Drosophila melanogaster: one gene and its partners. The protein of the gene in region 1 interacts with the protein of each later gene in a pairwise test. Each region holds a gene or a part of one and is shown in the gene's direction. Other genes may lie near its edges. The genes, in order: CG17230, CG5062, Bhmt and CG10814.

Evidence for each region.
Region 2: the proteins of CG17230 (region 1) and CG5062 interact in a two-hybrid assay, tested with the Drosophila melanogaster proteins (one large-scale study listed by BioGRID).
Region 3: the proteins of CG17230 (region 1) and Bhmt interact in a two-hybrid assay, tested with the Drosophila melanogaster proteins (one large-scale study listed by BioGRID).
Region 4: the proteins of CG17230 (region 1) and CG10814 interact in a two-hybrid assay, tested with the Drosophila melanogaster proteins (one large-scale study listed by BioGRID).

What each region holds. Positions count from the first base shown.
Region 1 is NT_033777.3:11,435,627-11,441,240, forward strand, and holds the start of CG17230 (uncharacterized protein), read left to right. Parts: upstream 1-2,158; 5' UTR 2,159-2,254; coding exon of another isoform or gene 2,255-2,455; 5' UTR 2,456-2,473; intron 2,474-2,516; coding exon of another isoform or gene 2,517-2,739; intron 2,740-2,797; coding exon of another isoform or gene 2,798-3,060; intron 3,061-3,153; coding exon of another isoform or gene 3,154-3,261; intron 3,262-4,258; coding exon of another isoform or gene 4,259-5,009; intron 5,010-5,269; coding exon of another isoform or gene 5,270-5,359; intron 5,360-5,496; coding exon of another isoform or gene 5,497-5,614. Other genes in the region: CG5281 (uncharacterized protein), read left to right, coding at 554-1,597; sals (sarcomere length short), read right to left, coding at 2,255-2,455, 2,517-2,739, 2,798-3,060, 3,154-3,261, 4,259-5,009, 5,270-5,359, 5,497-5,614.
Region 2 is NC_004354.4:5,179,212-5,184,303, reverse strand, and holds CG5062 (uncharacterized protein), read left to right. Parts: upstream 1-1,934; 5' UTR 1,935-2,123; coding exon 2,124-2,720; intron 2,721-2,784; coding exon 2,785-3,933; 3' UTR 3,934-4,122; downstream 4,123-5,092.
Region 3 is NT_033779.5:18,954,365-18,959,230, reverse strand, and holds Bhmt (Betaine-homocysteine S-methyltransferase), read left to right. Parts: upstream 1-1,919; 5' UTR 1,920-2,185; coding exon 2,186-2,800; intron 2,801-2,906; coding exon 2,907-3,287; 3' UTR 3,288-3,750; downstream 3,751-4,866. Other genes in the region: Nak (Numb-associated kinase), read left to right, coding at 1-931. UniProt on the Drosophila melanogaster protein: Involved in the regulation of homocysteine metabolism. Converts betaine and homocysteine to dimethylglycine and methionine, respectively.
Region 4 is NT_033778.4:13,375,213-13,379,981, reverse strand, and holds CG10814 (uncharacterized protein), read left to right. Parts: upstream 1-2,250; 5' UTR 2,251-2,293; coding exon 2,294-3,186; intron 3,187-3,485; coding exon 3,486-3,801; 3' UTR 3,802-4,007; downstream 4,008-4,769.

The sequences.
Region 1 (5,614 bases):
TTTTCACAAACCGTAAAAGCCGGTCTAAACAAGTTTCGGAATATTTATAACCGTAATTTGAATGTGCTATGCCAAAATAGTTTTACAGTTTTAATACATTTTAAGCAAAACTTGTTTCAAATCTTTTAAAAGTTCATAAAAATATATCGAAATAAAACCGTTAAACATGACGAGTCGTTTAAAAAGGTGGCATTGTTGGCTGGACTAAGATCTTCGGGGTGGCAATACTGGCCCACAGGGTTTTCCGGAATCTCCATTCGCGAAAAGAATTAAAAATGTTTAATTAAACGCAGTCGGAGCGTGCAAACAATGAATAAAACTCAGTGAAACTGGCGGCGGGGAAACGATGTGCCATTGAAAACGCAGAAAAGGCGGCAGCAGACAGTGACACAGCGCGTAAATAAGGAAGGCAATCGAAAGAAATCGATTTTTCAGGGCAGGTGGGCTACCATTAGACTCCCCACACTCATGCACACATATTGATGCAAATCCCATTTGCAGGATGCTGAAACTTTGAAGGAATCCAGAAACTGTAGAGAAGAAACCCCACAGAATGCCGGAAAACCTCGAGCTTCAGCAGTTCCAGGAGGGCGCCCCGCCCCCAGATCCCGCCCCCCGTTGGCTGGAGCGCTTGCAGCGACGATTGGGCGCCGATTGTCCCTACTTGGGTATCCTGCTGGCCACGCTCTCCTCGCTCTTCTTCTCCCTGTGCTCGGTGATTGTGAAGGGACTGGTGGACGTGAACCCCATGGAGCTGGCCTCGTTTCGATTCGTCGGAGTCCTGTTGCCGGCACTGCCCATCCTGATATACACGCGACAGCCGGTGTTTCCGGAGGGCAAGAGGGTGATACTGCTGCTGCGCTGCTTCATGGGCACAACGGGTCTGATGCTCAGCTTCTATGCCTTCCGACACATGCCCCTGGCCGATGCGAGTGTCATCATCTTCTCCACGCCCGTTTTCGTGGCCATATTTGCGCGTGCCTTCCTCAAGGAGCCGTGTACGCTGTTCAATGTCCTGACCATCAATATGACATTGCTCGGCGTGGTCCTCATCACGCGCCCACCCTTTGTGTTCGGTGACACGGCGGAGAGTGAGGATGTCGCTGGGAAGACGTACGACATCTGGGGACCAGTGGCCGCCATATCATCCACACTCTTCGGAGCCAATGTGTACATCCTGCTGCGGGCGCTCAAAAACCTGCACTTCTCCGTCATCATGACGAATTTCGGTACCATCGCTCTGGTCTACACACTGATCGTTTGCGCATCTATTGGAGCTGTGTGCTGGCCAAGCTGCGGACGGGATCGTTGGCTGGTCGTTGTACTGGGCGTATTCAGCTTCCTGGGCCAGATCCTGCTCACGCTATCGCTGCAGATCGAACAGGCCGGACCAGTGGCCATTGCTCGCTGCGCCGACATCGTCTTCGCCTTCGTCTGGCAGATGCTCTTCTTCGGAGAGACGCCCACCGCTTACTCGCTGGTGGGTGCGGTGATGGTGATGGGATCTGTGGTTCTGACGGCCCTGAAGAAATGGGCAGGCACCCTGCCACGCGAGTCGTCGCTGCGGAAGCGATTCAGGCTCATCCTGCTGGAATAGTGTGGTTCCAGAGCAACTAAAAGAGTTCGCGGTTTCTCCCTCGTCTTGTCACATCGTTCTCACCCAATCCCGGCAAGCATCAGTGGCCGGCAGCAAACCCGGTTCATTCATCGTAGACTCTACTTATATCAAGGCTCAGATCGTAGATTAATCAAAATATATAAGAAGGGACGCGTGATATCCACTCCACTCATAAGTAAATACTCGTAGTGCGTGTTTAGTTTAGCCAATTTCGCCGATTTGTTGTTTTGTACATTGTTATACATGCTTAAAATACGGTAATAAATACAACTTATGAATAAAATAAAAACAAGTTATAATTTGCATTTGAATTTCACGCTCTTCTACATGCAAATTTGCACTACATTTTTATATAATTCATTTAAATAGTTATAAATAAACAATAAAATTTCAAATCTACAGCGACACAACATTTTACATTACTTTGTAAAAATTCCGTTACATGTAGAATACAGACGGCGCGACATCGATACATACATCGACATCATACATCGATTGCAGAATTAATTTTACATCCACCTCTAGTTTTTCGTTTGTTTGTTTGTTTATTATTGTTTATGTTTATATTCTCGAAGCACACACACTCGAAAAAACAGAGCAAGGAACGGAAACAGAAACGGAAGACAAGCTGAGGGACTAGAAGCCCAAATCGGCAATAACCGCGTCCAGTTCGTCCTGCAGATTGGTGGCCCGCGATCGCACCTGCACAATTTGATCCTGCAAATTGTCGACGTTCGCCTGGAGCAGCACATTGCACTTCTTCATCGCCGCGAACCGGCTCTCGTGCTTCTTCACGCGCGGCTCCACATTCGCCTTCTTCGCGGAGTTGGGCGAGTCCTGCGGAATACGGTACAGGTGAGCTGGCTAAATAGTTTACGATTCTCTGGGGCTAACTCACCTCTGGCTCGGACTCGCTGCCCGTCTCCGCCTCACTTTCCTCCGATTCGGACTCCTCGGACTCGTCGTCGGATTCCTCCTCTTCTTCGCTGGCGTGCTCCTCCTCGGCCTCCTCTTCGTCCTCGTCCTTCTCCTCGCCGTCCACATCGTCTTCGTCTAGCTTCATGGAGGCAGCCATCTTCTGCACCTCCTTCTCCAGCTTCTTAAACTTCTTGTTCTCCTCCCTGTCATCCAGAGTTGTTTCCAGTTTAAGAACAATACTACATTACAATTTGTACTCACTTGAGGATACTCTGGTTCTTCTTCATGGCTTGCTTGAGGGCGTCCTTCTCCTTCTTGGCCGCCTCCTCTTTGACCTTCAGTTTGGTAAGCTTGCTACGCAGGATCTTGAGCTCCTTGCCAGAGCGACGCTCCCTGCGCTCCACCTTCTTCTCCTCCGGCTCGTCAGGATCGCTTTCGCTGACCTCAGGCTCCAGTTCCGGCGAGCTATCCCTTCCAAAGTTTGCATCGCTTGGTCGACGCGATCCGTCCAAGGATCCACCGCCCTGCAGCCGCAGTTAATGCAAAACGGAAAACGGGAAAGAAGGGATACACACATTGGATTAGTGAGGGCATCCTTGAGCGGGGCCTGATTTTACCTGATGCCGTGCTGCATGGTAGTGGTCGTAGTGGAAGCAATCGTCGTAGTCGTCGTCGTCGTAAGCAAAGCAATTACTAATGTGCGGTCTGTTAGTGCTTGGTGTCGCCTTTGCAAGAGAGCGTGAACGGGTTAATCGGTTAGTTGCCGCGGAGTGCAATAGCAAAGCTTTCAGGGGGATAGGAATCGGGACCGGACGTGTCCTAGACGGGTCATAACACCGCTTTGGTCTGGGCGGAAGCAGAATGCGGGTGGCGGGAGTCTTTCATGCAGCATGCGTCCGGCAGTTGGAGTTTAAGGTCGTCTACACACGAGATCTTCGGACATTGTTTATACCTCTCGTTTCGTTTTGATAAAGATTACATTTTTTAATGTCTACCATGGCATGGCCAGGTCCATTATTTGCTTAAAGAAAAATTCTGGAACCTTTTGAGCATTTCCCCAGAAACTTGATTTTGTTTTGTCTGGAATTGTGTGCAAGCAAACAGATAGCACAGGTAAGGGATGAAGGCACCTTACTTGAAAAGTATGGCTTCCGAAATTTAATACAAATTGAGCTTTGATAAAATATGGTCAGTTTTGAATTTCATTTTTCGCTTTCTCTTGATAATAATTTTACTATTCAACTTGTCTGATTCCTTCTCAACAGCAAGCTGTCTGCTGGCTTCAATCAGATTTCTGGTATTTTAAGTCTCGTGTGCAAACCGTTTTTAAGAAGGAAGAAAACAAGGTGTATCCACGGGTAATCCTTTCCCAGACCCATTCCACATTTGTGTCAAGTGTTGTCAGCTGATCTGTTTCTCTGGCTACAGTGGCTACTAGGGACAACTAACGAGGGATCTAAGGCGGAGTCTACGAATTGCGGTGGCTTCGTTAGCTGCTCCCGTCTACTTGCCGCCCTCAGCGGACGCAGCGAGGCGACGCCGGCGACACTAAAAACAAGAAAGAAGGACTAGCTTCGGAGTCCGATGCTTTGCATACCCTTGGAGATAGTTATGTTGTAAATGGTTGTAATCCAAAATCCTAATCTCAACTGACAACACTTTGAGCAGCATCCCATTACCTACATATACATATTACCGAACCCGTTCTGCAAAAGGAATTACCTGAAGAGCTGCTGCCAACTTGCGTTCGAGCAACTGAATCTGGCGGCGCTGCTCCTCGATCTCCGTCTTGGCCTCCACCAGCTGCTCGGCGGTGCTCTGATAGTTTTGCTCCACCTCCTTGGACACCTTCCGTGCGTCCTCTACCTCGCGCTTCAGGGAGTTGACGTAGGTCTGTTCGGCGGTGGGCGTAGGATCCATGGTGGCCACAATCACATTGGATCCGTACTCGAGATTCTTTTCGCGTGACTTCTCGCGTTCCAGTTCGGTCTCTAGGGTGCGGATTTTGGCCAGCAGCTTCTTGTTCTCGCGATCCTGCGCCTCACGGTTTCGCAACTCCAGTGCCAGCATTTGTTTGGTGCTCTGCAGATCGTCGCGGATCTTGTCGATGTCGTCCAGCTCGTCGGGGCTTTCCTCGTCGATGGACATAGCCGATACGATGCTGGGCCGGGATCCTCCGGCTCCCAAGGCCGTGGCACTGCCCGGTCCGAGTGCATGGCTGCTAGGCGCCTCGCTGAGCATGTTGATCTTCGACTGCGACTTCTGCAACTGCTCCTCGATGGTCATCTGTCGGCGGAACTTGCGCAGACCGTCCAGCACCGGCTTGCTGCGATCGTTGGTCTTCGTTGGCTTCAACTTGATGCCGCCCTGGATCTGCTTGAGCAGCTTGTTGTGCGAGTTGCCCTTCTCCGTCTCGTAGATGAACTTGTCGTCCAATTTGGTTATCGACTTGCACGTCAGGATGGGCTGAGATCTATTAGGATTTGAATTGTTATAAAAGAGATTTTTGAACATTTTCGTGCAGAGTTATCTATTATTTGGCTGCTGGTACTTCTGCACACTTAAAATTTAAGTAAAAGTCATTAACATTTGCCGGATAAAGTGGCGTAAACGCAGTAAGATGCTCTAGGTACTCTTTCCTGTGGCCTTAAATAACTTCAGTTTTCATTCCCTTTTTAATTATCGGGAGTATTGCAGTCGGTAATTACTGCACAGCATGCGGACACCACTCACCTATCGTTGCAGGCCACATGGCGCAGCTTCTTGCCGCTCTCCACCTCCTTCATCATCTCGGACCAGTCGGGGCGCCTTCGGGGTCGAGTCCTGCGAATCGAAGCGAATCGGAATTATGGCCATTCTGCGCCTTCAAGGTAAAAACTATCCCGATGCCAGGATATTCGGGTATGCAAGCACTGGCGGTGGTCAGGGTTCATGGGTCAGTCGTCGAGGTTTCCACTCACCTGAGCTTCTCGAGGGTCTCCTTCTGTGTGCTGCTGAGCACTCTCTTCTCACCGGGAGCTAGGGGCGGGGGCGGCGGTGGCGGGGCCTTGGGCACCAGCGAGGGCAGCGGCGGCGGGG
Region 2 (5,092 bases), on another chromosome or scaffold:
GTGCGCATGTGAGCGGAGGTCCACTGTGTGTGTGTTGTGCTGCTGCTGCTGCAGCTGCGTGTGTGTGTTAGTGTGTGTGAGGGCCATGGCAAACTGGAAACTTTGCAAATGAATGGCAAGGCATTGGAAATAATGAGCCGTATTTACATTTCAAAGCGCTCGCACAGAGCGAGAGCTGTAAAAGTTTTTAGCCTCCCCAACGGACTACGGGTCAAAATCAGTTACGGAACTCTGAAATGAAGAAGGATTGCGAGAAAAGAGGAATAAACCCACGGAGGCTGTTGTTGTAGTAGTTGTAGTAGTAGTTGTAGTAGCATTGCACACGCACACGCACACGCACACAGATGAAGCCGGGTAAATCTCCTCCAGAGTTGTGTGGGGAGTAAATTGCGAAAGCTTTCGGTGGCAGGATTGCATACAATTTGTTTTATGGCCATGGCGTGCACATTAAACGCGCACTTAATCACACGCAATGGGCGTGGTCGGTGGATCGTCCCACCGCCCACCATCGTCGTCGTCGTCTACGGCGACAAATCAAATTGATTTCGCTTTTCTGGCTGGCTTGCCCGCTGCCCTTGCCCAAAAATTTGTACGCCCCCTTTTTTTTTTTTGCCCCTTTTGTTGTGTTGTTTTGCGCCTTATTAAATCACTTTTATTGCCATTGAAATGTGAGAAAAGTTTTACGGAGACGATGCCCCCCCTTGTCGTATATATTATAGTACGTAATATGATTTTTAGCTGCTTGCCAAAAAAAAAAAATAATTCATATTTATGGCAAAAACTTCACGCTCAGCGCGATGTGAGAAACATCGGTGTTATTGATGTCTGGCGAACAGGAGTGTATTTCGGGCGGAACCCATGCAGTCAGAGGTGGTCGCTGTTGGTTGTCCATAGTGAAGGCAACCATTTGCCCCACGGCCACCACACCATCTCATCGGAATCTCGAGTATTTGGTATTGGGTGTCGAGTAGCGTAGTAGATGGAGATGTCTCTTTGTGCGCCCAACAACACAAGCGCCACACAAATAGACAAGACAAACACTATGGGCTGGATATTGAGTTTCGGTTTCGAATTCTCTTCCAGCATTCGTCATATGACGACTAAAATGGAATTTGGTCAGTATCGAGTGCACAAAAGACTCCGGCTAGTTAAGTTATACATATACCAAAATACCGTAAAATAAGCATAACTTGAGCAAAAATAATCATTTTCGAGCACTTTCGAGCAGCAAGTGACATGCGGTATTATAGCCCTGCTTAAAAGCCAGCTTGTTGAACTATATATATTCCTCCATTATCCTTTTTTTTCTCTCACCAGCCTAATCTACGGGCAACAGCGAGATTTTCACAAAAAAAATATATAAAAAAAATAAACCAGCGACCCCTATATTCAGGCACTGCGTTTCAGCGAGGCGTGTAATTAAATTTTCATGCCACCTACCTGGTGGCTGGATTTCGAAGGGAGAGTAGGCGGTGGGGCAAGCGGGCCATGGGCGTGGCACTTACATACAAAGAATGCAAATTGTCGGGGCTATTCCAAAATGCAAGCATCAACGCCTTCGAATGCAACCAAAGCAGGCGGAAGTAAATGCAGCAGCGGCGGCAGCCTTTCCCTTTTTCCCCCAACTAGCTTTCCATATATCCTCGCCCCCCCCCCCCCCCCTTCACTTATCCTCTAGTTTTTCCTTCTCACCTGCCACTCGACAAAAAACGACACTCAAGTGGTCAGGTGTGAACAAGTGTAGAAGCAGCGTACACGAGCATGTTTAATTTTGGGATACTCAAATGTATAACCGACCTATTAAAGGAACTCTATGATTCAAAAAGTACCTGTGAGCCTACATTCCCAGCAAATACCCTGTAATTGTAATGCTATACCCAGCAAGCTTTGAATTCATGTAGATTTAACCTGCCAGATTCGATTGGATAAACAAACGAAATATACGAAACAAGCAAACAAAACAAGAGCCTCCGAGCAAATAACACAAACAGACACGCCAACAAACCGAACAAAGGAACAAACTCAATAGCTAAGCGAGAAATCTGCTATTGCGTTTTACCCCACACCCCTCTGGCCATTTGCAATTTCAAACGCGATATACATATAGAATAGAATTCGTCAAGATGCCAATGGTGATGCCATGTCGTTCGCGAGCTGCGATGAAACTGCACCCGGATTGCTATGATCGACTTAAGAAGCCGATTTATCTGGAAACGCCACCATTATCGACCGTCGAAGAGGAGCCACTATGTGGCGTACGCCGTGATAGACCCGTAAAGCCAAAGGTTCAGAGGCGACCATTACCGCCCGGCACACGTCTACCGAATCCAGTAGCCGTGCCTGGACAGAAGATCACACGTTCGGCGGTGGGTGGCGGTAAGGCGCCACCGCGAGCCCGAAAATACGACGGTGCCAAGGCCACGTTCTTTCACATCAAGGGTCAATCATGGGAATCCAAGGGCTATGCGGAGCTCTCACAGTGCGAACTGGATCGCATGCGGGCATCGAGGCCGCGTACCACCGAGGAGCGTCGCGCGGAACAGGATCGCCGGATGGAGGAGCAGCAATATCATACAGCCGAAGCGGAACGTATGCGTAACTATTTCCACGACATTGATGAGCAGCGCAGGGAGAAGGAGCGCGAGGCCCAGAAGAGGGACGATGACGAGGCCGATGAGGATGTCAACGAGGATCGGCGTGCGGAGGCCAAACGATTGCAGGTAGTTTTTTGGTTTATGGTTCTTAGCCATATTTCCGAAAGTATATCTCCACCACCCATTGTAGGTACTACACCGCGCCTTGGATGCCAAATACGAGTCAGATGTGCGAGTTAAGGATGCCACGCGTGCGATATCCGAGGCCAAATGCAGTGCCATGTGGACGGCTCAGATACAGGAAAGGAAGCTACTCAATCGCATTCAACTCGATCATGACGAGGAGATGGCTCGCAAGAATCGCGACTACAACAATGCCAAATGGGGCACGGTGGAGCAGCAAGATCAGGCCGAAGAGGAGAGGCGCCGGCAATTTGGCAACGCAGTGCGTGAACAAATCACTGATCGCGAAAAGTTACGTTTCCTGGCCCAGGATCGTCTGCGATTGGAGGCGCGAGACTTGCGTGCCGCCGTCGATGAGTATAAAAAGGCTGAATTGGCAGAGGGCGAGATGAAATCGCGCCGTAAGCTGGCCTATCGGGATGAATTGAATAAGTATACGAAATTGCATCGCAATTTCGTACGGATGATGTGCGAACAGGATCAAAGAGATGAGAACAGGGCCTACGAGTATCTAAAGCTCAAGGAGCAGCAATTGAAACAACAGCGAGCGGAACGCGAAGCCATCGCGGCGGATGAGAAACGCAAACGGGATGTTCTCTTTGCAGTCGGCCAAAAGATTCTCGATGCTAAGGATAATCGCGAGGAGATGCATTTCCTGGCGGAACACGAACGCCTCGAACGAAAGTACAGAGAAAACGAACGTAAGGCAGCCGAAAAGGAACGCAAAATGGCCGCCGAACTCAAGCGTGCCAATATGGAGCAAATGGAGCATCTTAGCCAAATGAAGGCCTGCTTCTATGTGCAACGTGAACGCGAACTAAAGGAGATGATCGAGTATCGAAAGAAGCACGAGGAGCAAATGAAGCGCGAGGCCGAGGAGCAGGCCATCAAAAAGGCCTGTCTGCGCTCCAGTGTCTCGTGCCAAATCGAAGAACGGGAGAAGGCTCGTCGCCGCGAACTGGAGGAGGAACACTTGGCCTTCGAAAGGGAGCGGGCAGCTGAGGCGCAGCGGCAAAAGGAAATCGATACGGTGATCACAGTCAAACTGGATGATCTACAAAAGCGCGGATGTCTGCCCAATTTGGCGGTGCAATCGCTAAAGGGTCGTGTCGCCAATGCTGGCAACAAAAAGAAGCTGGGCGCTGAATTCACTTAGATAGTTATATTTTCTAAAAATCCATCCATAGACAGACAGCATCAAACACGCGCACACACTCACTCCCACACACACACACACACACACACACAGACACACACATGAACTCAAGTTGACAATGGCATAGATGATGACTTTTCGAGCTTGGCGGAATTAAAACTTGCAGCACATATAAAATGTACATAATGTATATGCACGTATTTTAGCCACCCTGTGGTGGCAACTTTTCCGTGTGTTCCTCGCCTTTTTTGTTTGCTGTCAATTCAACAAGTTAAAACTGCAGACCGCAGACAAAAGGATATATAGACTGGCACTCATTAAGCAGCAGCTGATAGAGCAAACAAAGTTTTTTCTATCGCTGCGCTCACTCTTTTGCATGTATTAAATATGCACACAGATTGCACACGGTATTCGGTGCAACTAAAAGTCAACTTTATCCTGTCGCATTTGCGGCTGCAAAAATAATTAGCCACACAAGTAATCAAAAACAATGGGTTCAAATGCAGTTTTGGGCAGTGGTGTTACTGTTTTATTTAAGGTTAATTATTAACTAGTTTATGATCTAGGGATTTCGCGCAGTTTTGTTGAATATCATTTATTCGTATAAAGGATAAAAACTAAGCAAAACACGCAGCGAAATCGAGTATAAATCACAAAAGAGGCGCCACAGCCACGCCTTCTCGCACGAAGCTATCAATTCTGTAAAGTCAGAGAACAGAACGCTGAGATTAATTGAGTTGGATAAATTTCGCCGGGCTAATACGTCTTTGGGAATTAACCCACGATAGATGAGTGGGGGTTAAAAAGGCGCACACAGACACACAAGGATTAGGGTAAATTAAGTTGAGTTTAAGTAGAGAGGCATTTGTTTCACTTAAATTCGCGAAATTAGCAAAAATTAATTTCACTCGGATGACTATTGATTCGATTTTGTGAAATATTCACAAGAAACAGGCACACGGGCACGAATGGGTTAAGCTGACCGTGACTGCATGGCTGTGGGTCATCCATCCATCGGCATAGCGGCGGGTTAATGATGCAGAAGAATATTGCCCTTGAATGAACTAGCAGCAAGCAAAAAGGCCGAGATGAATGTGTTTCTGGGTTAGCAGAAAATGCCTCTCAATGGCTTAAATACTTGCCATGATGCAGCATTTAT
Region 3 (4,866 bases), on another chromosome or scaffold:
GCCCGCCTCCGTATCTGTTGCTCTTCCTGCCTCCGTTCCTGTATCTGTTTCCGTCAATTCGTCTGCCCCACAACTGGTGACCATAAATCACTCGATTATTATCAACAAAACGCCGGAGCCACCGATGAACTATAATAATAATAATAATAACCAGACTGCTAAGTCGAGTGGCACCAGCAGTGTCTATGTGAATGTGCCGTCTTTCTCCAGCATGAGCACCAGTTCCTGCTCCATTAACCAGCCACAATCCTCACCAGCAGCTGTGATTCCAGTTCAGGCACCTCTTCCAGTTCCAGTTCCTGCCCCTGTTTCCGTTCCAGCCGTTCCAGTTCCAATACCAGCGGTCGTTACCCATCTGCGTCCTTTGCTGCCCATTGCCGATAATGCGTATGTGCAAATCTCCCAAGATCGCTGCTCAGATTTCACACCGGACGACGAGGAGGAACCCGTGGTGTTGCGTGATGCCGATGTGGTGGCAGACGGAATCGGTATACCTACCCCTGCGAAACCCAAGAAGGAGAAGTCCAATCTGGCTGTAAGGGTTCTGCCGGGAAAGCTCACCCAAAAGGTAAAGGGGCATTCGTACAAAAAAGTAAGCGCGGCTGCCCTTGGATCCACCAGTTCCCTTAGTTCCGGCAGCAAGCAGAAGCACCAGCGATTGCAGTACCAGTCCCACGATGATGACGACGACGAACAGGATCAGGATGAGAATCGAGGTGCTGGAGGCGGCCGCAATTTCCAATCAAACACCATTCAAAATTCTGCCAAAACCGGCTTCAGCAACATGAGCTTTGAGGACTTTCCCTCGGATCAGGAAATGGATCGTCTGTCCAGGACCATTCCCTTCGAGGTGGTTAGAAACGAAAAGATGTTACTCGAGGCGGAGAAGAAGTTCGGCTCCCTCAAGCGACGGAACAACTTGTTCTCATAATGTGGACAGTGGGGCGAGACCATCAAGGAGACCTGAGACTGAGTGTTTCAAATTATGTTGACATTTCGTTTAAGCTTTTCTCCGTTCCGTTTTTAATGTGGGGTTCCAAAAATAACCAATATCTGTATTTTTTGAATATAGTATTTATTCGCGTGTAGCAATGTTAAAAAGTGGCTAGTACCCATACATATTATACACACAACAAGAACAATACCTATAACTGTTATTTAGTGCAAAAATTTAAACTAGTTTTAGAAGCGAAACATGTTTTAGAATTTATACAGTGCGTAAGTTTACCAAAGTTACATTTATTTTTGTGGCATTTTTCAGCTTGAAGTATTTCATGAATTATATATTTATACAAAACTATGTGATTATACACCCACACCCAATAACAACCAAAAAAAAAAAAAAAACAATTTATCACCTAAGCCAATTGCATTCACTAACACACCAAGGTATTTAAGAATTAATTATTCTATCCGTATCGAATAACATACGCGTTTATGTTAGTACACCAATTGTTTTGCATTATGTATTATCTCGACTATATAAAATATGCATATTGTATTTATAATTTACTTCAGTGTTTTCTTTGGTTTCCTTGGGAAAACGCAACAAACTTGCCGCCCTCTCCTAAGCGAATGAAATTTGTATATCATCAACTGTATCAGCTGTTGGGTTGCTTCTAGACAAAAGATAATGCACAGACATCTGTTGCTTATCGAAAAAAATGTATATATAATGTTGCGGTTAAGTACCTCATACAAGTTTTTCTTCTCGTCAACCGCTTGTTGCTATTTTAGTACCTTTGTGACATTAAATGCCATTGAATTTTTACATTTTTACAGTAGGAACTGAACATAACTTGATTCCTACTTGTTTCGAAACATCTTTGATTCTTTATTAGATAACTATATTATTATTTTATTATATTATATGTAGCTATGTAGCTAGCTACAAAATTCAAGACACATTTCTTAGAATTCCAACTTATCGAGTGCTCACTGCACTCGTAAACAAAGAACAGCTGAGATGTGTTAGGGTATGTGTAGGTTTTTGCGTTGTGGAAACTCATACAAGATAAGCGGAAAAAGTTGCCAGCCCAAGCGAAAAAATCCGACAAAAATAACAAAAATTCCAAGTCGGCAATACTTACAATATCACGTATCTGTCAGATACGAAATTTTGTCGTATCGCATTGTACGCTTCCAGAAATTTGCAGTTTAACGGAAAACGTACAGCAGTGAAGACATGGAAGTGAATCAAAAATGGAACTGGGACACCAAGCCAATTCTGGTCAAATGCGGAGGATTCTCCTCGCAATTGGCCAAGAATGTCACCGAAAAAGTGGACGGTGATCCACTGTGGGGATCGCGATTCGATGCCACCAATCCGGAAGCTGTGATCCAAACACATCTGGACTTTCTTCGCAACGGAGCGGATATTATTCTAACCAACACGTATCAGTCCAGCGTCGAGGGATTCGTGAAGTACCTGGGCGTGACCAGAGAACGAGGTGTGGAGTTGATCCAAAAGAGCGTTCAACTGGCCAAGCAGGCAAAGGAACAGTACCTTAGCGAAATCGGTTCTGAAGCGGAGTCGGCTCTTCCACTGATCATGGGCTCAATAGGTCCATATGGCGCCTATCTCCACGATGGATCTGAGTACACCGGCAACTATGCGGACAAGATGTCCAAGGAGGAGCTGAGGGCGTGGCACAAGACAAGAATTGAGATTTGTCTCGCAGCTGGAGTGGATGGATTGGCCCTGGAAACACTTCCATGTCTGATGGAGGCAGAGGCAGTCACCGAATTAGTACTGGACAACTTTCCGGATGCCAAATTCTGGGTCTCCCTGCAGTGCATGGTGAGTAATATCGCAAAAAACAATAACATTCTTTATACAAAACAAGGGTAAAAAATATATCGTTCAATTACATTTAAAAATCCACTTTATGTTCCGATATTTTCAGGATGAAAAGCACATGGCTAGTGGAGAAAACTTCGCGGAGGCGGCTCTCTCCCTCTGGCGGTTGGTCCAAAGTCGGAAGGCTGAGAACCGGCTCCTTGGGATCGGTCTGAACTGTGTAAACCCACTATTCGTGACCCCTTTGCTATCATCGCTTACCAAAGTGGCCGGTTCGGATCGCATCCCACTGGTGGTCTACAGCAATCGCGGCGAGATCTACGACGTCGAGCAGGGAGATTGGACTGGAACCGGCGAGGAGGTGGTCAAGTTTGTGCCCGAGTGGATCCAGCTGGGAGTGCGCATCGTTGGCGGCTGTTGCCGGGTCTATCCGACGGACGTGTTGGCGATCCGCAAGTACGTCGATGGCCTCAACATAAAGCCGTAATCGGGAGAGAACTCCGGTCACTGATAGCAGCCTTGTCGCTAATGCGAAAGCTGTTTCGTGTGACTAGACCTAGACCTATTTAGTTTGCTAAATACATATACGCGAGTACTAGATGTACCCAGATCAGATGGCTTCCTAATCAGCAGAGTGTGGAAAAAAGCGTGGACGGCTGGCTGGGAGACAAACACAGATTAGGCGGGCGGACCAAAGGTAAACAAGTGGGCTGGGGATATGGGCAGACGTTCGCCCAACGACTGTTTTTGCCAACCTAGCTCAATTTTTGAGTCCAAATCAAAACAATTTTCTATTCAATTATAACACAAAAACGTGCATTTGTCCTTTGAAAAACTTGCTGTGTTCTTAGCTTTCTATTCTTTATAGCCGGATTTAAATTCTTTAAAATTAATATTGTTAAAAGTGTGTATGTATGTACTGATGTAAAGCAATAAACTACAAAAATATCAAAAATAGTTGTTTTAGTTATCTTCAATATATCATATTTTTAGTACAGTATTAAAATAATATCTTCATTAGAGATTCATCAAATCTAATCACTTCTTACATATGTACCAAGGCAAACGCCTTCTGGTACGCAAGGTACTTTATAGAGAAGGGTATGCCCTTCTATTCTTGCGGTTCTCGACTTTATCACTATGAAAGATATTTCAAAATTTTTTGGAACTTCATACCGCATTTTTAAAAGAGTACTTACATTTTTGGCTGTTGAAGCTTTTGAGGATGGTGGAGCCACATGTCCACCTATTGCACTCTGACCCAATCTGGCAATCAGCCTAATCGGATACTTCGTTCAAAAAACATGATTTTAACGGCCATTTTCAAATTGAAAGCCTTTTGTCGGTCAATCTCTTACTTTACATTTTACTTTATTTATTTATTTATTTATTTATTTTTTTTTTGTCCAAATATTAATAACAATCATCACTTTAAGCTCATCTCTTTTAGAGGAGATTTTATTTGATATATCTTATGTCTTATTTCCTGTTCATTAGCGATTTGTTTACCAGAATAGGGGTTAAATGTTGTTTTTCTCTTTGACATCAGTAGACCTATTTTTGGACCATAATCTATTGAGTGCGGTCGGAAGCTCACCCATTTTCCTTTAAGGAGGACAGAGTCAACAACCAAGTACATCTTGAAGTGTTGGTCCTAGGCGGCGTCCAGAGGTTATCGGCGTCGACTTAGCAGATGCGACATCCCGAGCAGAGTCACTCGGAAGCCAGAACCACGCACAGCGGCGCTTTGACGATTTCATCAGCTTCATCAGCCTCGTGGAGGGGGAGTCGCAGTCCACCCGGACAATCCAATCTGGCTGGCCAGCGTCTGGCAGCTGTGCACCGGGCTTATCACCCACTTGGTGGGGGCACTCTCATGTTTGTGTTTGCCGTTTTGTTTTGTTATAAATTATTATAAATATTATAAATTTCGCCCTGATAAGCCGAGCCGCACAGCTGAGTGGCCCTTCGGAAAGTATAAAAGCCCCTCGACGATACGTGAAACATTTAAACGTTCGTCGAGCGTCCATTGCGACTGATCATATCCACCGTTCCGAAAGATTTGT
Region 4 (4,769 bases), on another chromosome or scaffold:
AAAATCCTCGCCGCCCACGAGGCTAATTAGGCCCATAGCGTTGGCCATTGTGCCAAACCGTTAGACGGGCGTATTGTTAACTCGAATCCACACCACCACGACTCATCATCAGCCACGGGGTTCACTCACCTGTTCACATCCGCTTTTTCTGGCTTTATGAATATTTCAGGCATTTAAGCCTTGGAACTGATTTATTTGCAATTTGATGGCCAGCGAAATAAATAAACCAATTTCGGTTTTCGGCCATGTTTCGCTGGATATGTTGCGGTCGCTGCGGGTTTTGTTTAATTTTCGTAAGTGTTGTACTCGATGTTTATGCATAATTTGCGGTATGTTTTGATCGGTTGCGAAGTAAACCGATAACACGGATTTGCCTGTTTTGAAATGTTATTAAAAAATAACAAATAAAAACAGACTTATTCGGATCGCTGCTTTTCAAAATAAACACTTTGAGTGAATCTACCTTTTTTTTTTCTCCGAGAAATTCATTACTCTGTCTCATCGCTCATTTCATCGATATTTGTCACTATTGTTGTGCCTGATTATTGTTAAGTGCAGGTGGGCTGGCGAAATGGAGCTGCGCGGCGAATGGGGAAAAACTGTCACTTGAATGCATTTTCATTACACCTCATTACATTTCACTTGCATCTGCAATTGTGTCATGTCGCCGGCTTTCGCTGCCGCTGCCTTCGAGCCTATGAATACGGGAATACTCGCAATGAAAACTGCCGAGCGAATGGATTCGTTAGCTGAATGGGCTGTGAGTGTTTTTAATTGAAAACAATAAAGTTCTGCTGGGGGAAACTGGGACTCCTTCCAAACAATGCATGAAATGTAGACGCTGCATCGTGCTGCATACCGCATTTCTAATGCTCTTCAAGTTTCTTAGAATCTGCTGTAGGCCTAGTACTAATATAATAAAGTTATCACAACAAGATATATAATTTTTTACAATACTTTCTTAAAAATATACATTAAAACCAATCCATTGAAACGTTCTACCTTTATTCAAGCTATATCTTCTCATAACTTGTTGGCAATGTATCTGCGATACCTTATATCTTACATTTAAGATACATTTACTCGCTGAGAAGAATCTCAGCTAAAAGCTGAGCATTCGATGGATTGTTCCACTCGCATTCTTTGTTTCGGGGAGAAATGCAAATGGAAGTGGAAATGGTGGAAATGGCGGTTATAGAGCCGCCGTAGATGGATAGATACGAGTCGTATTCGCGCCAGACAATACACTCGAATACAAAATGCGAATGCGAATGCGAATGCGAAAGTGATAATTAAAAATCGCGCCATATATACTGGTTACCAGATATGCTTGTTGCCGGCCGATTCTCTGCTCGTTGTTGTTTTCCCCGGCATGAAATGGTTATTGTTTATGATTTTCCAACGCTGTCGAGCAGGATGTTCGCATTGCAATCACCACTGGTTTGAGTGAAACAATCGATGTGGGTGTGGCATGTGAGCATGTGAATGAAGTGATCAATGCGCCTAACAATGATTGACGCCACTTCCCGCGACCAGGGGCGTCGCCGTGGCATGGGGGGAGGCGCCATGAAAGGGCTGTCGAAGATGGCGCGCTTTTCCACAGCCACGCCCCTTTCCAGCTCGACTGCAGCTGGCAAACAATTATGCAAAATCGCTGGCGTTAGCAGTTTTATGCAGAAATTAATTTTGCATTTTTAATTTTACAGCTCCAGTGGCGGGCGGGGGCTTTAAGCAAGGGGAGCCCAGCTAAAAACAAGAAAAAAAAAAACGCTGCGACAGCAATCTGCACTGCTCACAAAGGATTGATAAGGGTTAGACTTGGATGGTCGAACACTTAAAGAAAAAAAAAGCGAGTTTCTAGATATCTATATTTATGCAATAAGTTACAAATATCAAAGTATTCACATAAATTAGTATGTATTTAGGAAAATATATTCTAAACAGTATGTCTACATACAATATATCTAAAGTATATCATCTAAGGGATAACATATATAATAGTATAATAAATTGGATCAGGTGATAATATGATATTCGAACATATTACGCAAGGCTTCTTGTCATTTCTCAGCTAATTCTTAAATATCAAACAGCAAATATAAGCAAACAGCTTAAAAACTTAGAAAAATATAGTACGTACTTCCTTTTTTTAAGTGTAGCTATGTAAACATCACGCGTTATTTAATCTGGTCCATCAATTTGGCCACGTACCCCTGAGCGTGGGCTTCTTGCTCACCGCCCTAATCAGGCACATCATTCCGCAATCGGAAGACATAGTGGTAGGTTGCTCAAGATGTTCCAAGCGGACCGCCGAGATTTGCCCAGCCAACCGCTTAAGTTGGCTCTGCCAAAGGAGCAGGATCAGTCGCGCCTGGTTCAGGTTCCCGATCCTGATCGTCGGGACATGCAGTTTCCAGACATTTGGCTGCGCGATAATTGCCGCTGCGAGGAGTGCTATCTGCCACAGACACTGAGTAGATTGCCCCAGCTGTGGAACCATCTGGACACCAGTGTGCGGGTCCTGCGGCAGAGCGTGGACGTGGACCAGAGGGTCCTGTGTATAGAGTGGTCCGATGGACATACCTCCCAGTATCCGTTCAGTTGGCTGAGGGAGCGGGACTTCTCATACGCGAATCGCCAGCGTTACCTGCGTGACTTTTACCGCCCGGAGCAGAAGTTGTGGAGCGGTCTGGACTTTGAGAAAATCCGTCAGGTGTTCTACTACCAAGAACTGCTCGATTGCGATTCGGCGTTGCAGCAATGGCTCCAGCATCTGGCAGTTTACGGAGTGGCCATGGTCAAGGAAGCCCCTCTCGATATGGACGTCCTTCGGAGATTGTCCAACCGAGTGGGCTTCATGAGGCGCACCACCTATGGAGAGGAGTTCAGTGTTCGGGCTCAGCCTGGAGGCAGCAACTACGCCTACTTGGCCGCACCACTCCCGCTACACACGGATATGCCCTACTTTGAGTACCTGCCCGGAGTGACCATGTTGCACACCTTGGAGCAGTCCGCGTCGCCCGGGGGTGTCAATCTGCTGGCCGATGCCTTCTATGTGGCGGAGGTGATGAGGGAACGCTATCCGGAGCAGTTCCGGGTTCTTTGCCAGACTCCCGTGGACTGGGCGGACATCGGAAGCGACGGCGATCTGCAGTTTCACAATATCTGGAGGGCACCGGTCATCAAGTGAGTAGATTTAGATTGGGAGTCCAGTAAAGGAGATTTATATTGATGGAGTTCCTTTGATTGCTTAGGGCGACTTAAGAATACATTTAGGTGCAGTCAGACTATAAAAATGCTTATTTTGAGTTCATATTTTTCAAGCAAATTCTGCACTTTTAAAATCTATTTTTCTCGCAACTTGAAATGTTTCAGTTATCTTGAAAAATATTTCAGATATTTTTAGGTGGAGGTAACAATTTGTTGACGAGGGGAAATGCATAGTTGCCCCAGCAGAACTTGGCTAACATTTCGATCTCTTGCAGCTTGGACGCGGAGGGCCGGTGTGTGCGCATCAACCACAGCATTCCGCAGCGCGACAGCCACTTTAGCGTGCCGGTGGAGCAGGTGCGTCCGTGGTACGAGGCGATGGCCACCTTTGTGGGCCTGGCCCACGAGCACTCCTGCAGATTCAAGACCACGCCCGGCGACGTGCTCACGTTCGACAATTTGCGCCTGGTCCACGGACGTACCGGGTACGACGACACGGACCGCAATGTGCGCCACATTCTGGGCGCCTTCGTTGACTGGGACATTGTGTACTCGCGCCTGAGGGTCCTGCGGAATGCCAAAGCCACCTGATGCTCCTTAGATAGCAGGAGCAGCAAGCACATGTTATGTTATGGCTACATTAATTAGCCATCTATCAATGCCAAAATGCTTTGATTGACATCGCAATGTGGTAGCAATAGACAGAGTAGAATCATTAGATTACTTTCGAATTTATTGTGCTCGAGAAATTAAACCATTTATTGACATTTTGAATAAATACTATTTTAATGGTTTCTAATCCTTTGACACGCTTCAATGCTAATTGACATTATTTAATTGGGTTAAACGTGTGATTTAAGGCATTTTGAAGAGGAAGAAGAAGTCACTCGAGAAGTTTACTAATCTGTTAAACGTGAACATCTCTGGCTGATAAGTAATTCTATTAGTTTCGCTACCCTGTAAGAAAGTGACATAGGAATATTAGACTATACGCTGATATTCAAAACTATAAAATGTATTATTCATTCGTAAATATATAGGTAGAATTTTGGAGACTACTATAAGTATTCAATTCAACAAAAATTGGAAAATATTAATTTAATTTAAAATGGTAAGAGTATAAATTGCTTCATGAGCAATATTAGATAACCTAACCTAAATTACAGGGTATGCAGGCAAATCCGTGATTCAACAACTGCTAGCCAAACAGGCCACTGGAAGTGAAAGTCCAGCACACGTCATTGTTTACGCCGGGCAACAAAGTGGCTTATCAGTGGCCAGTTGAGTCAAATTTCAACCAGTATGTCCATATATATGTATATGTACAATAGGTATATATTTCTATTATCAATTTATGGCAATGCCCAGATCAACACCGACTTGGCAGAGCTCTTAGCTCTTGGCATGCGAGTAAATCACACCCACACACCTTCATGATTTTCATTGGACTGGGAAAACTTGGCTGGAATGTCGGGGTGTTTTCCCTTCGCTTTTCTTTTCGGGTGTTTGGGTGCGGTGTCCCGCAGGCAAATCCTTTGGAAATCTTTTTATTTATGTCA